Linked DNA regions of Coturnix japonica. The protein of the gene in region 1 purifies or fractionates together with the protein of each later gene. This does not show direct contact. Links are inferred from orthologs where the notes say so. Each region holds a gene or a part of one and is shown in the gene's direction. Other genes may lie near its edges.

Region 1 (6,572 bases):
TTGGACTGAAAGATAGGAAAAACTGAAAGCTCAAATGGTATTGAGTAATTTTCAAACCACATATGCTTCCCTACATTGTTTTGGACAGTGGCTTCATGCCAAGCTCCTCTCAGTCTGTTCAAAACAGTGTAATACAAAACCCATGAAAAGCATAGCCCTCATTTCCAGATTCTGTTGACTCTACAATGGCAGCCTTGATTTAAGGTGAAATGGCATTTGTACCTGGACAGGTTCCACTACAAACCAAAGACTTGAATTTTTTGTTAGCTTGTTGAGCAGAGCTCAGTGTCTTTCCTTCCTACCACAAGACTGCAGAGTGGAACACTGGGGGACAGCTCGGACATCAGCGTGTTAGTTTTCAAATTATGAGTATTCTTGTTTCAAAACAAATACTTCACTGGGAGGAAGTTCAGACAAACCTGGTCGTTTTCCTCTAGAGCTGTACAGTGCCTCAGCTCCTGCATGCATACACAATGCTGCTGTGATTCACCAAGCACAAATCCCTGGACACAGGCTGTGCAGTGACAGAGCACGTACTTTATGGCCAAGGACTCCACCTGTACCTCTAAAGTCAGAGTTGAAAGGCCTGCCTGCAGTAGTGTGTTTGGAGGCAGTTTGATGTTTTCACCTGACCTAGTTGCAACAAATGCAGCTGTTTTGTGCAGACGGCAACTTTCTAATGTCCTTCTGAACTAGTATAAACCCATGACGTTTTCCTAGAAAGGCATGCTGCAGAATCCCAGGCAGCTTTCCCACTGTGCTGAATTACAGGCTGCAGATCCCAGAACATCACCATGCAAAGTGTGTGTAACATTGCCAGCCGTGTTGGCATTTTCTCAACATATTCCTTTTTTCACACATGGCTGCAGAAAACATAAAGCAGTAGAGAAACCTCAGGAGCTGCCCAGAGTGTGGCACAAACAGTTCTTAGGGCAACAGGATGCACTGTGTGACACTGTGTGGGAGCTATGAGGAAGGACCAGGTAAACTGGTTATGTATGGGCATAGTTTGTGGTGGCATTTGCTCTGCTTCAAAAATGAGTGCCAGGCTGGCTGTGGAAAGGTGGCTGTGTTTGGGCCACCAGCCCTCAAAGGGCCGTCTCAGCATCCCTCTGAGGGCCAAATTCACTGAAGTGTGATGCATAGTATTGGACAGGGGTGTGAACATGCGCTGTGAGGACCAACTGCAGAGTCCCAGTGCAAATATGGGACAACAGTTCCCACAGAAGGAACAGGCAGCCAATACACTGAGCTTGCAGCAGTGTTTGTGGTCTATTGCGACTCCTTCAAGGAAGGAACTTTCTTATGTGGCTGCTGTCAGATGTGAGCAGTGTACTCCATCGTGCTCAAGGTCTCAGTGTTACTTGTAGCACAGTCGTTGTGGAAGGCTGAAATTTGAGAGTGAGGGCATCCTTCTCCACGTCGCATCATTGAATTTAATTCTGCTCTGACACTAATGATTATTCCAACCCACATTTCTGATGCCAAGCCTACGAGGGCAGCTCCAAAAGTAATGCCTCCTATTTTGTTACATTGGGCCACGATGCCAAAGGCAGATAGTGGTGGTATGGCAATAGAGGTTCAACCTTCCCTGCAATGTTCTGTTACATTTGGTCAAGCACGACATAGCAGCAGGGGGGCAAAGTGATGTGTGTGACACGAGAGTGCAAATGAAGCCAAGGTGTGTCCCTGAATTCCTCCGGGTGGCAGACATGGCACTGCTTGGCACTCGTTAATGTTTATGGGCACTGAGCAGTGGCTGTGAGCACAGCGTGGGGTGCGTGTCAGTGGGTCACCTCTGCTGTTGCAGATTGTTGTGGACACGGCAGGACAGCTCTTGTTTATCACAGGCAAAAACGCTCAGCTAGTGGCATTAACTATACCGAAAAGCAGCATTTTGTAGGTGAGAATTTGCTCTATCAAACATTATTGTGCTCTTCGTACGTGTTGAAGCGGCCGTGGAAATAAATAGGATGCATTACTTTTGGAGCACGCGTCGGTTGCTGACGTCACAACTACGACGATGACGTCACGCGCGGTGTTCCCCTCCCTCCGCCGCGCGCGCCGCCGCGCGCCACGATGCTTTCGCGCCCGCAGCCGTCGGAGCTCCGCCCCGCGCCGGGCGGGAGGGGGCGGAGCCAGCAGCGCGGCGGGGCGGGCTCCCCGCACAGCTCCGCCTCCAGCGGGGACAGCGGGCACGTGGACGGGGCGGGCGGCGCTGCCGGGCGAAGCGCCAAGCCGCTCGCACCGCGCATGCTCCGCCCGGCGCGGCTCGGCGCGGCGCAGGGTCACGGCGCAGTGCGCAGGCGCGTGGGACTCCCTGGGCTCCCGGCGCTGGCGGCCATGGAGCGGAAAGGTGAGCGCCGCGCGGCCTGCGGGGGGGCCTCGGTCCGGCGGCTCCGCGCCGTCCTCACGTTCTTTCTGTCTCTTTCCTCTCAGTGCTGGCGCTGCAGGCCCGGAAGAAGCGGACCAAGGCCAAGAAGGACAAGGCCCAGAGAAAGTGAGTGCGGCCCCGCTGCCCCTCCTCACCCATCCCGGACGGGCTGCTCGGGGCGCTGGGCCGCTCGTGGGGCGGGAAACGGAGCCGCTTTGTCCCGGTACCGGAGCCCCGCGGCCCCTCCCGCCGCTCCCGGAGGTCTCGCCCTCCCCTCACGCCCCTTTCTTCCTCCTATTAAAATCCTCCTTGGCGCGGTTACGTCGCTCTTTGACGGTGCTGTTTTCCCGTGGCCGCCCTCTGGCCGCAGGGATGTTACGGGGCTTTTCGTGCGCTGAGCTTCACCGCGCGGATAGAGAAATGGAAGGATCTGAACAATGGCCGGCTGCGGGGCTCGTCGCACGCTGCATTCCGTGCTGCACGCGGACCCGGTTCGGGTGTAAAGCCCGGTCCGGTGCTGCGTGGTGCTGGGAGCGCTTTGCTGTCCGCTGGGTGAGAGCACAGAACTGCAGCGTGGTTGTGTTGGAAGGACCTTAAGGATCAGAGAACCACAGAGTAGGTAGTTGGCTTGGAAAGGCCCTTAAAGGTCACAGCCCCATAGAATGGTTGGGTTGGAAAGGACCTTACAGCCCCTTCCGTGCTGTGAGCCGAGTGTCCCCTGAGCTCAGGCTGCCCAGGGCCCATCCGTGGCCTTGAGCACCTGCAGGGATGGGGCACCCGCAGCTCTGAGCAGCAGCCAACACCTCACCTCTCTCTGGTGACGGATTTCTTCCTAACATCTCAACATAAACCTGCCCTTCTTTAGTGCAAAGCTATTCTTCCTTGTCCTGTCACTATCAGGCCATGTAATGGTTCCTACATAAAAGCTTTGGTGGTGCAGGGAGTTCTGTGTATCTTTCTTTACAGCGTGTTATTAGTCACTTCCTCTGACAAATCGTGCTGTTTTAGAGTTTTTCTGTTGCTTTCTGTCTCCAACAGACTTCCAGTTGTTCTGAGAGAGCTCTGGAGAGGTCAAGGGCTGAACCAAGCTCTTTGGGAGATGTGCATTGTATTTCTACGTATGTACTTTGGGCTTTACCTGGTGCAATAAAAGCTCAACCTCCAGCTTTGAGGCACAGCACCCCAACAGTTATGCTATTTAAATACAAAGCGGCTCTGATTAAATCTAAAATAAGCTTTACTGGGTTGTTGTAAGGCTCCCTCCATAACATCTGGGCTCGAAGCCACAAGGAATGTCTCTTTAACATCTTATGTTCAGTGATATTTGATTGCTTACAAGCTTTTCTGTATGAAGTTAGTAAGAAAGTGTAGCACACGTGAGTTTTGAAAGGGTGAAATTGGTGTTAGGAATTCTCTAGTTATGGTTAAACATAAAAATACAAAACTAAACAGTTTATGGATTGAACCATCAACCTTTCAAGCAGCTGGATCTTGAGGTGCGTTGAGGTCAATGGTTTTGCCTGACTGTCAGGAATGCAGGTTTTGGCATGGCTTCATTGTTTGAAGCAGTTTCTGACCCCTGCAGAACTCAGTGCTGGCAGGCAGGTGTGTTGGGCACAGCATTTGTCCCCTCACTGCAAGAAAGACATCAAGGCCCTGGAACATGTTCAAAAGAGGGCAACAAAGCTGGTGAGGGGTCTGGAGCACAGGCCTTATGAGGAGAGGCTGAGAGAGCTGGGATTGTTCAGCCTGGAGAAGAGGAGGCTCAGGGGAGACCTTATAGCTCTCTATAACTTCCTGAAGGGAGGTTGTAGTGAGCTGGGGGTCAGCCTTTTCCTCGTGTCGTTAGGGATAGGACCAGAGGGAATGGCTTCAAGCTGCGGCAGGGGAGATTTAAGCTGGACATTAGGAAGTATTACATCTCAGAAAGGGTGGTCAGGCACTGGAATGCACTGCCCAGGGAGGTGGTTGAGTCACTGACCCTGGGGGTATTCAAGGAACGACTGGATGTTGTGTTGAGGGACATGGTTTAGTGGTAATGGATGAATGGTTGGACTGGATGATCTTCTAGGTCTTTTCCAACCTTGGTGATTCTATAATTTGAACAAGGGTCTGGAGCTGTGCGTTGCTCCTTTGTGTTTGCATGTTGATTTTTCTCCTGTGAACTAATCCCCACATTTTCGTGCTCTGGTCTGCTGTGAGCAGTGGGGAGCCATGCAATGGCTGTTCCAGCAGCACAGGCTTCCATCAGCCACAAGGTGGCTGCTGTGTGTTCTATGGAGCTGGTGTGCTGGAAGCAGTGCAGGTGAGCAGCAGGTTTCTGTTTGGCTTCTGAGTCCTCGGTGGTGTTTGGAGGGGGAGCGTTGCTGGGAGTTAGCTCTGCAGACAGAGCAGCTGTTCCTGGCTGAAGCGAGGCTGGCACTCACCACTGTTCTGTTGGAGTGTCATTTCATGTACTGTAAGTCTTGCATCATGTGAACGAAAGCCCAGGAAGTGGGAAGATAGATACAGGTGGGAAGATTTGATACAAAACAGCTGCTGTTTGACCAAAAATACAAATGCAGGTGTATTTTACTCACATCTCTGGTAATTTGTAATGGAATTAAGCACAATGGTAGTATGTATTTTGCTGGCAGTTGTACTCTGTGGCTCTTTCTATCTGTGTCACAGGCTCGGATCACCAGGCTGTTCTTTGACCCAGGTACTGCTGTGCCTAAGAATCAGGGTTTAAAAAACTAGGCTCCAAAATAACTAGATTGAGAGCAGTTAGACAAGAAACAGAACAAATAGTTCTGTATTGCAGCTTAATTTTTCTGAAGTGAGTAAAATGAGCATTTTAATAGAACCAGGCTGTGAGTCTGCATGCTGCATTAATTGGGCATTTCATCAAGCCTTGTATTTTGCTTTTCTATTCCAGGAAAAGTTGCCCCATCACACGCAAAAACAGCAGCAGCTGTGCATGGGGAATGAGGGGGATGAACTGGTTGTGCCTCAGTGCAGTACACTTTACTACTGTAAGCGTGACTAACTGCAGAGGTAATGGTAGCCATACAGCTGTGGTCTGGGTTCTGAGAAACGTGCATTGCAGTACTTTCTTCTGATGGAGTGCCTGGTGAATCAACCTGACTCGTGGGCTCTGCTGAGTAGGAGGTGGTTTTTTCACAGTTCCTCCAGCTGCTTTTGCTAGAGGAGGGAGGGCAGTGGCAGTGCTCATCTGGGGCAGTGCCACCATCTGCCCTTCTCACTATTACCATTTCTTGGGTGCAGTATTCAGCATCTTCAAGCAGATGGGTTTACAGTTATCTGTAATCTTTTAGACAGACTTTTACTTTGTGCTGAAACCTGTCTTCTTTCTTCTTCCTCTCCAACTGAAAACAGTAGAATTGCTGGATGAAGAACAAGCAGGAAGCTGGTAATCTTCATCTCTTTGTGAAGAGATTACCTGCCTTCTGGGGTGAAGGAAGTTCCCAGTAGCTTCTCCAGTACTTTCAGTTTATTACTGCATGTCTTTCTTGTGTCACTTCTTTGCTGCCTTTGGAGAGCCCTAGAGGCCTTGCAGCCCTCTGGGGTCCTTCAGTTGCTTCTGGAAGGCTTTTCCTGGGATCAGAATCTCATGTTATGTTCTTCCCACTTGTCTTTCATCATTAATACCAGAGCTGCCTTTCTTGTAAGCATTTTGGATGTACACCTAAAACAGTCAGAACTCAATGTCTCGCCCACAAGATTTTTCATTCAAATACAGCAGTCATGACCAGGCTTCTGCATGGCAGGATGTGAGCTCTGCTGGTTTCCATGGAAGTTGCTCGGTTTGTGTTGCTGGAATAGCAAACAGCTTGTTAAGTGCATGCTTGGAGAAGTGGGTACGGGGAGTGAGAAACTTAATTGTCTCTGTTATTTGTACATTAATGCCATTCTCATGTGAAACGCTTTATTACTTATCTTCAAACTGAACTCCCACCATCTACTAAACAAGTATATGTTGTTGCCTCCGTGCTTGGTTCTTTCAGAATGGAATGTTCTGTCTCTGCTCCTGTAAGCTATCAGCAGTAGTTTCCCTGCACACCTCGACCTGCAGCAGTGAGTATGGCAGATCTGCCCTCCTGGTGGCAAGCACCAGTTCTTCATTCAGAAAAATAGGGATGGGAGCGTGAAGGAATTGCACAGAATTGTAATGTGGATTCTAGGCTCAGAACTCCCC
Region 2 (5,916 bases), on another chromosome or scaffold:
ACAGAAAAGATGCTGGGGAGAAAGAACGAGCAAGACAGCAAAAATATCCTAAAAAGGATCAAAAATATGGATGAGTTTCTGTTTGAAGAAAACCAAGCTAAACTGTGATCTTCAGGCTGGGGAGGGGATGATGGGAAGGGAGGACCTGGAACAGGCATCTCCAAAACATGAGTAGATGAGCAGTTAGCCATTTGCTTACTGCCTGTTCCATTACAGACAGCAAGAGTTCAAAAGTGAGTAAGCTGGTTCTTTAGGAAAAGGTAGTGGATCTGGAACATGTTGCTGAACGTTTCTGGGGATGCTGAAAGCTTTTACGTGACAGTGATCATGCTTGTGGAAGAGATTTGCACAAACTACTGCAGATCACTCAGGATGCTTAGCATAAAACTTGGAAGTCCATTCCGGTTGATAATTGGAGTGTTAGGTAGTTATCAGGAAAATCCTTAATATGCTTGCATGCTTATTACAAGCATCTTCATCAGACTATCTTCTCCTCTAAGGCATTGGTATACAAGACAAATGTCTAGGGTTGCTGGAGGAAATGCTTAAGTAATTTCCCTGTCCTGGGAAGCCATTTACAATGTCACACATCAGGGACATCAGACAAGAAACTGATAAGAACACTTACTGACATAAAGTTATCTTTTTAATTTTCTTGTTTTTGTGAATTTTATACACTACTTCATTTTTAATACTAAAGCGGGAGAAATAGATTTGTTTCATTTTTCTCATCTTGCTTCATTGTCATGCTACTCACATGGGGCAAGACCATATAAGCAATATATAAGCAATTATAAATACCTCAAGTGTTGCTTTAAAAAAAAACACCAACAAATGCCAAAACCAACAGGCAAAAAAAATCTCAAGCAAGTTCATCAGACCTCATGTTTTCTTTTAATGCTAATTATGAAAGAAAAAAACCCAGAGGAAACTGGCTTTTCTCATTTGAGCTGTCCACAAAAATCCTTGTTCACTGGGTTCTCTGACTTTGTTTTACAAAACATTTGTTTTTCTTTTGAAATATTCTTGAAATACTTTGAAATATCTTGAAGTACCAGTTTGTCATTGCTCACTTTTCATCTTATTTACAGCTGCAGGAATCTAATACTGACAGGCAACTCATTGAGACCTCTCCAGTTCTTCAAAAGCTTACAGAGTTTGAGGAGGCAATTGGAGTCATCTTTACTCATGTTCGACTTCTAGCACGTGCGTTCACTCTGAGGACAGTAGGCTTTAACCATCTGACTCTGTGAGTATGTGGCAAGGGCCCTCTTAGGGCTCAATGGCTCTACTGTTAGTAGACCACATTGCTTTATTTGTTGACAAACTCTAGGTTATCTGTGTGTTCTCCAGAAGAGGAAGATCAGAAATGTTCACCAGCCTGTGTCACTGAGTATCCTGTCTCTGTAGTAGTGAATAATTTGGGAATTCTGTGGGTGTTAGGGAACCATACTGGTGTATCTTCTGAGCTTCCTGGACTGTTGACTTTGGGTTATTGCTCCTGAAACTATCCGAATGTGCTTGAAGATACACTTGGCCAGAGGCAAAAAGTAAAGTCATGCTTTTGGGGACAACTACAGCCCTTGTATTCTGCTGAGTGTACAGCACATAAACATGCAGTTGGCTTTGGGTGTCTAACTGCTATAACCTATTGTAAAGAAAATAGTTGTACCAGTGGATACCTAGTCCAAGCTCTCACATGGGTTTAAACCCTGATCCTTCTATTTCTTGTGAAAGGACAAAATTTCTTCTCTACTGAAGTCATTGCACTCACTGGGTAGAGACAATTAGAGACTTCATCCCATAACAAACCTGATGTCAGCAGATGTCCTAGACCTGTGATCTAATAACTGTGCTACCCTGATTTGCTTTCTAAGTCAAAGTCAGAGTTACAACAGTTTCTGTTGTTTTCGTCTCACTAGTGTTAATGCTGGAAATCTGTCTTAAAAGTGTTTAAAAACAAGTAACATTGGCTTTCAGATCATTCTTTATTTTAATTTCTATATGCATGCTGCTTTTGTTTTTTCCTCCCTGAGTACTTATTGATTTTGCTGCATTGATGTCTCATTTTTCAGAGGCCACAATCAGAGGATGGAATTCCTGGGTGACTCCATAATGCAGTTGGTAGCCACAGAGTATTTATTCATACATTTCCCCGATCATCATGAAGGGCACTTAACGGTGAGACTGCCATCAATCATGGTCTCTGGGAAAGCAAGTGCGGGATGGAGACTGAAATTATGGAAGTGGCAAGTGAATTATTCTAGATTTGATTAATAAAAGAAGCCCCAGCAGCCACTGTTCTTAATAAGACTTGGTTAATTTTAAGTCATGTGTTGTGCAGTGAGTAGGAAATGGTGATTTATGAGCTCAGTGCAATAATTTTTGTTGTCTGCGGAATGAATCAATAATTTTAAGGATGTCAGTTATAAAACTGAGAGAAAAGATTAGGTCATACTTAAAGACATGTTTAAAGCCATTTATTTAAATACGCACATAAGTGCTTTTTCATTTTCCATTGAACCTGCAACAAGGTAGTAGAGTTTCCTTTCCAGACAGTAAATTCTCACTATGTTTTACTATTTTTTACCTATTGCTTTTAATATGGATCCCCTGTAGTTACTTTGGAATTTAGTTTTAGTGTTACAGTAACATACACTACTGTAAATATAGGGTTGTGAGATATGTAGCTTTTTCTCCTGATTAACTGAATCTTTTAGTACTGCAGCTCGTATTAAGCACTATGAGAAGATGACACTCTCCTTAATGTTTCTGAATTTTTCTTAGTTTTCAAGTCATTATGAGATTAAAAAATTGTTACATGTATTATGGATATACGTCAAGTTCTCTAGTTAAAATTAGGGAGTAATATTTTGGATGTCTTTGCTACTGCAAGTGGATTTTTTAAATCAGTGAAGAGTTGGAGATGCTAAATCTCTGACAGATTCCTGAAGAAAACACTGCTTAGCTGTTTTCAAGAAACAGAAAGTATGTGTGCTCCCATTTTCATTTTTCGTTACCATTTCTTGACTTTCATTTGCATTTGTATGAATTGTTCTGCAATGTTCAGGAGGAGTTGATAAAGCCTGATCTTTTGATGTAAAAATTAAAAGGGAAAGAGGCTTGTCATTAATTTTTCACAGAGGAAACAAAAACAGAAGGCAGAAATCCAGATTTGCAGTTTTTTTTCCCTTTGTAGGTGACTTTTAAGAATGTGGGCATCAGTGTTGTTATAGTAAGATAAATCTTTCAGGAATTGCTTGGCAGGAAGGACATAGTGTTGCTGTTAATGGGTGTAAATACTCGAACGGCGATCAGAATGTCTCTGTGTTGCTTAATTTAATGATAAGTGAATTGGCAAGTAGAACAAGCTGCACATTGCCCAAGATTCAGGGGAAACTACAAAGAGTAGAATGAATGCTGAAAGTGCATAACAATACAGAGAGGTAGGCAGTGCCTAGAAAAAAAAAATTAATTTTGTGGTTTTGTACAGTAGAAAAGAAAATAGTCTTTGAAAGTCTTTTAAGTATGAGGACAAATGAAATGAGGCTTGAGAAGAGTAGACGGATGATGTGAGACCTGAAGAGAAACAGCAAACATGAGGTTCCGTCCTCCTGGGGAGATTTGAAGTAGTGAAACATCAGACAGATGAGTGTCTATAGTGTTGCAGACAATGTTGGTAAGTGATGGGAAGATTCTGCTTGACTGGCTATGCAGTGTCTTTCTGATATCCAGTGATTTCTTGTGAAGAAAAGTCAAAATTAACTATATATAAGAAAAAGGGATTGCAATTTTATAGATGTTTTTTGAGGCAGCTAAATGATCTGTCAAAAAAAAGCAAAACAATGAAATTTTGTTGTGTACTGGAAGCTACTTCTCCAGCAGTGTTTATGCTGCAGTCATGGGTAGTAAGTAGTACAACTGACTCTTGTCATCTCTAATTCTCTGTGTAGTGTGTATGTGGTTCTTTTATGATAGTACTAATCATGGATTTGGGATGTGTTGCAGTAAATATTCTGCCAGTGCAGCAAAATAAATTGTGGTTCTCTCATTTCAAGAAGCTGATAATTGTCATTTGATTTTTGTTGGGCTTCTTTCTTATAGGTTGCATACTGTAGTTAGGATTAGGTTGGGAATAATACTGATTGTTTGTCTTAAGGACATAAAAAGGAATGATTTTGGAAAGGAGCAAACAGAAGATGAGTTTTAGCATAGGTTAGGAAGAAAGGTATTAATCCTTTCTGCAGTCTGCCTAGTTTATGAAGATCAGGCTGTGAGTATCTGCTTCATACATCATTGCCGAACAAATTATGAACATACTGTTCTTTATTTATCCATTGTCAGAGATGAAGTATCAAGTGTAGTGAATAAATCTTTATTTTCATAAGCTCAGTTGACATTTTGGAGCCAGGTAGAATATAACTTGGAACTAATAAGCTGTGCAAATGTGACATGGAAGACAAAGAGGTAAAAATGTTGTACGCAGCTTCAGGACTCTGGATAAGAGTGGAATTTATTAAATGGCTATATCTAATAAAAAAATAAAAAATAAAAAAATAAAGCTCATCTTTATTAGGCATTTGGGAAATTGAATGGAATCCTGAAAGTCTGAAATTCTCCTTTCAGCTATCTGAGATTTTATGTTTGACAGGTTTCTGTTTATTTAAGCAATCTGCCTAAAATCAGAGGTAAGCACTTTGGAGACTCTGCTAGAGAACTAGATATCCTGGGCATTGTCACACATTAAAAATTTTAGAGCCTGATCTACATCAGGGATATATTAGTTCAGCTATGCTGCCTTCAGTAGAACAGTGTGATATTGCAAATGGGCTATCCAGATAAGCATTTTCTTCTCTGCCCAAATGAATGGAGCATCTTTCTCACCTGCTGCTTCTGAAACTTCTGAAGTTTTGCTTCAGTGTGTGTTTGTTTCAATTACTGCCCACTTCTTGTTTGGTGGACGTTTGGGATTGTGCTGTAGTCTCACAAGTGTTGTGTGTTTATACTTCGTGTGGGAAAAAGTTTGTATAACTTTGTGTACAGTAGGAAAAAGTAGAAAGTATAGGACTGATGAAGAGATGGTATGTGAATGCAAAAAAACTCTCAAACCAGCATTCTAAATGTAAGACTTGTCTGTAGAAGGAACATGTTTTGAGATAAAAAGGATTAAAATCTGATGAGAAGTGAAACATAAGGGAAAAATCAGCAGTAGAAAGAATGAGGATGCGAAGAAGTGTGTGTGTGTGTGTGTATGTGTGTGCGTCTACCTAAATAATTTAGGATGTGCTGAAACAAACACCAATAGACTGGGAAGTGAGTGGCAGCAAAAATAAACTGAGTAACTTCCCCCAGCTCTCACTGCCTTTTATATTTTGGTATTGCTATTTGTTACCATTGTGTGGAATTCCTTCTATTGCAGCTGTTGAGAAGCTCTTTGGTGAACAACAGGACGCAGGCCAAAGTGGCAGAAGAGCTGGGAATGCAAGAGTTCGCCATCACTAATGACAAGACAAAAAGACCCGTAGCTCTTCGAACTAAAACTCTAGCTGATCTCTTGGAATGTGAGTCGGTGTGGTTTTATAACAGTTTAGTACTTATGCACTTCATTTGTTTTCCCATGAGGCTTATTTAAGAAAGCCATCAGAAGTCTTACAAATCACTATTAAAAAGAAATGTTTGGATTTTCTAATCAATTATGCCTATATCTCTGCTTACCATATTTTTAAACACCAACCTGAATTTTTAAAGCCTATATGTGAGCATATGAGGGAGGTATAACTGCAGATACAAAACTGTAATCTTAGAAGTGATGACCGTAGTGATAATGATGCCTAGAGCAGAAGAATGTCTTAAAAGTTAAAACCTGCCATTGAGTCAAGCTGTTGTAATGGTAGTTTCAGTGTTTGTGATATGTTC

The links. The genes of interacting proteins can lie anywhere in the genome.
Region 2: the proteins of SRPK1 (region 1) and DROSHA purify together in Homo sapiens (affinity purification with mass spectrometry; 3 studies listed by BioGRID and IntAct, counting the BioPlex papers as one, with this or other methods). This does not show direct contact. The link is inferred for Coturnix japonica from reciprocal best matches to the Homo sapiens genes SRPK1 and DROSHA.

The regions. Positions count from the first base shown.
Region 1 is NC_029541.1:494,993-501,564, reverse strand, and holds the start of SRPK1 (SRSF protein kinase 1), read left to right. Parts: upstream 1-2,064; 5' UTR 2,065-2,079; coding exon 2,080-2,356; intron 2,357-2,439; coding exon 2,440-2,500; intron 2,501-6,572. UniProt on the Homo sapiens protein: Serine/arginine-rich protein-specific kinase which specifically phosphorylates its substrates at serine residues located in regions rich in arginine/serine dipeptides, known as RS domains and is involved in the phosphorylation of SR splicing factors and the regulation of splicing.
Region 2 is NC_029517.1:60,511,273-60,517,188, reverse strand, and holds part of DROSHA (ribonuclease 3), read left to right. Parts: intron 1-1,091; coding exon 1,092-1,249; intron 1,250-2,075; coding exon 2,076-2,181; intron 2,182-5,419; coding exon 5,420-5,561; intron 5,562-5,916. UniProt on the Homo sapiens protein: Ribonuclease III double-stranded (ds) RNA-specific endoribonuclease that is involved in the initial step of microRNA (miRNA) biogenesis.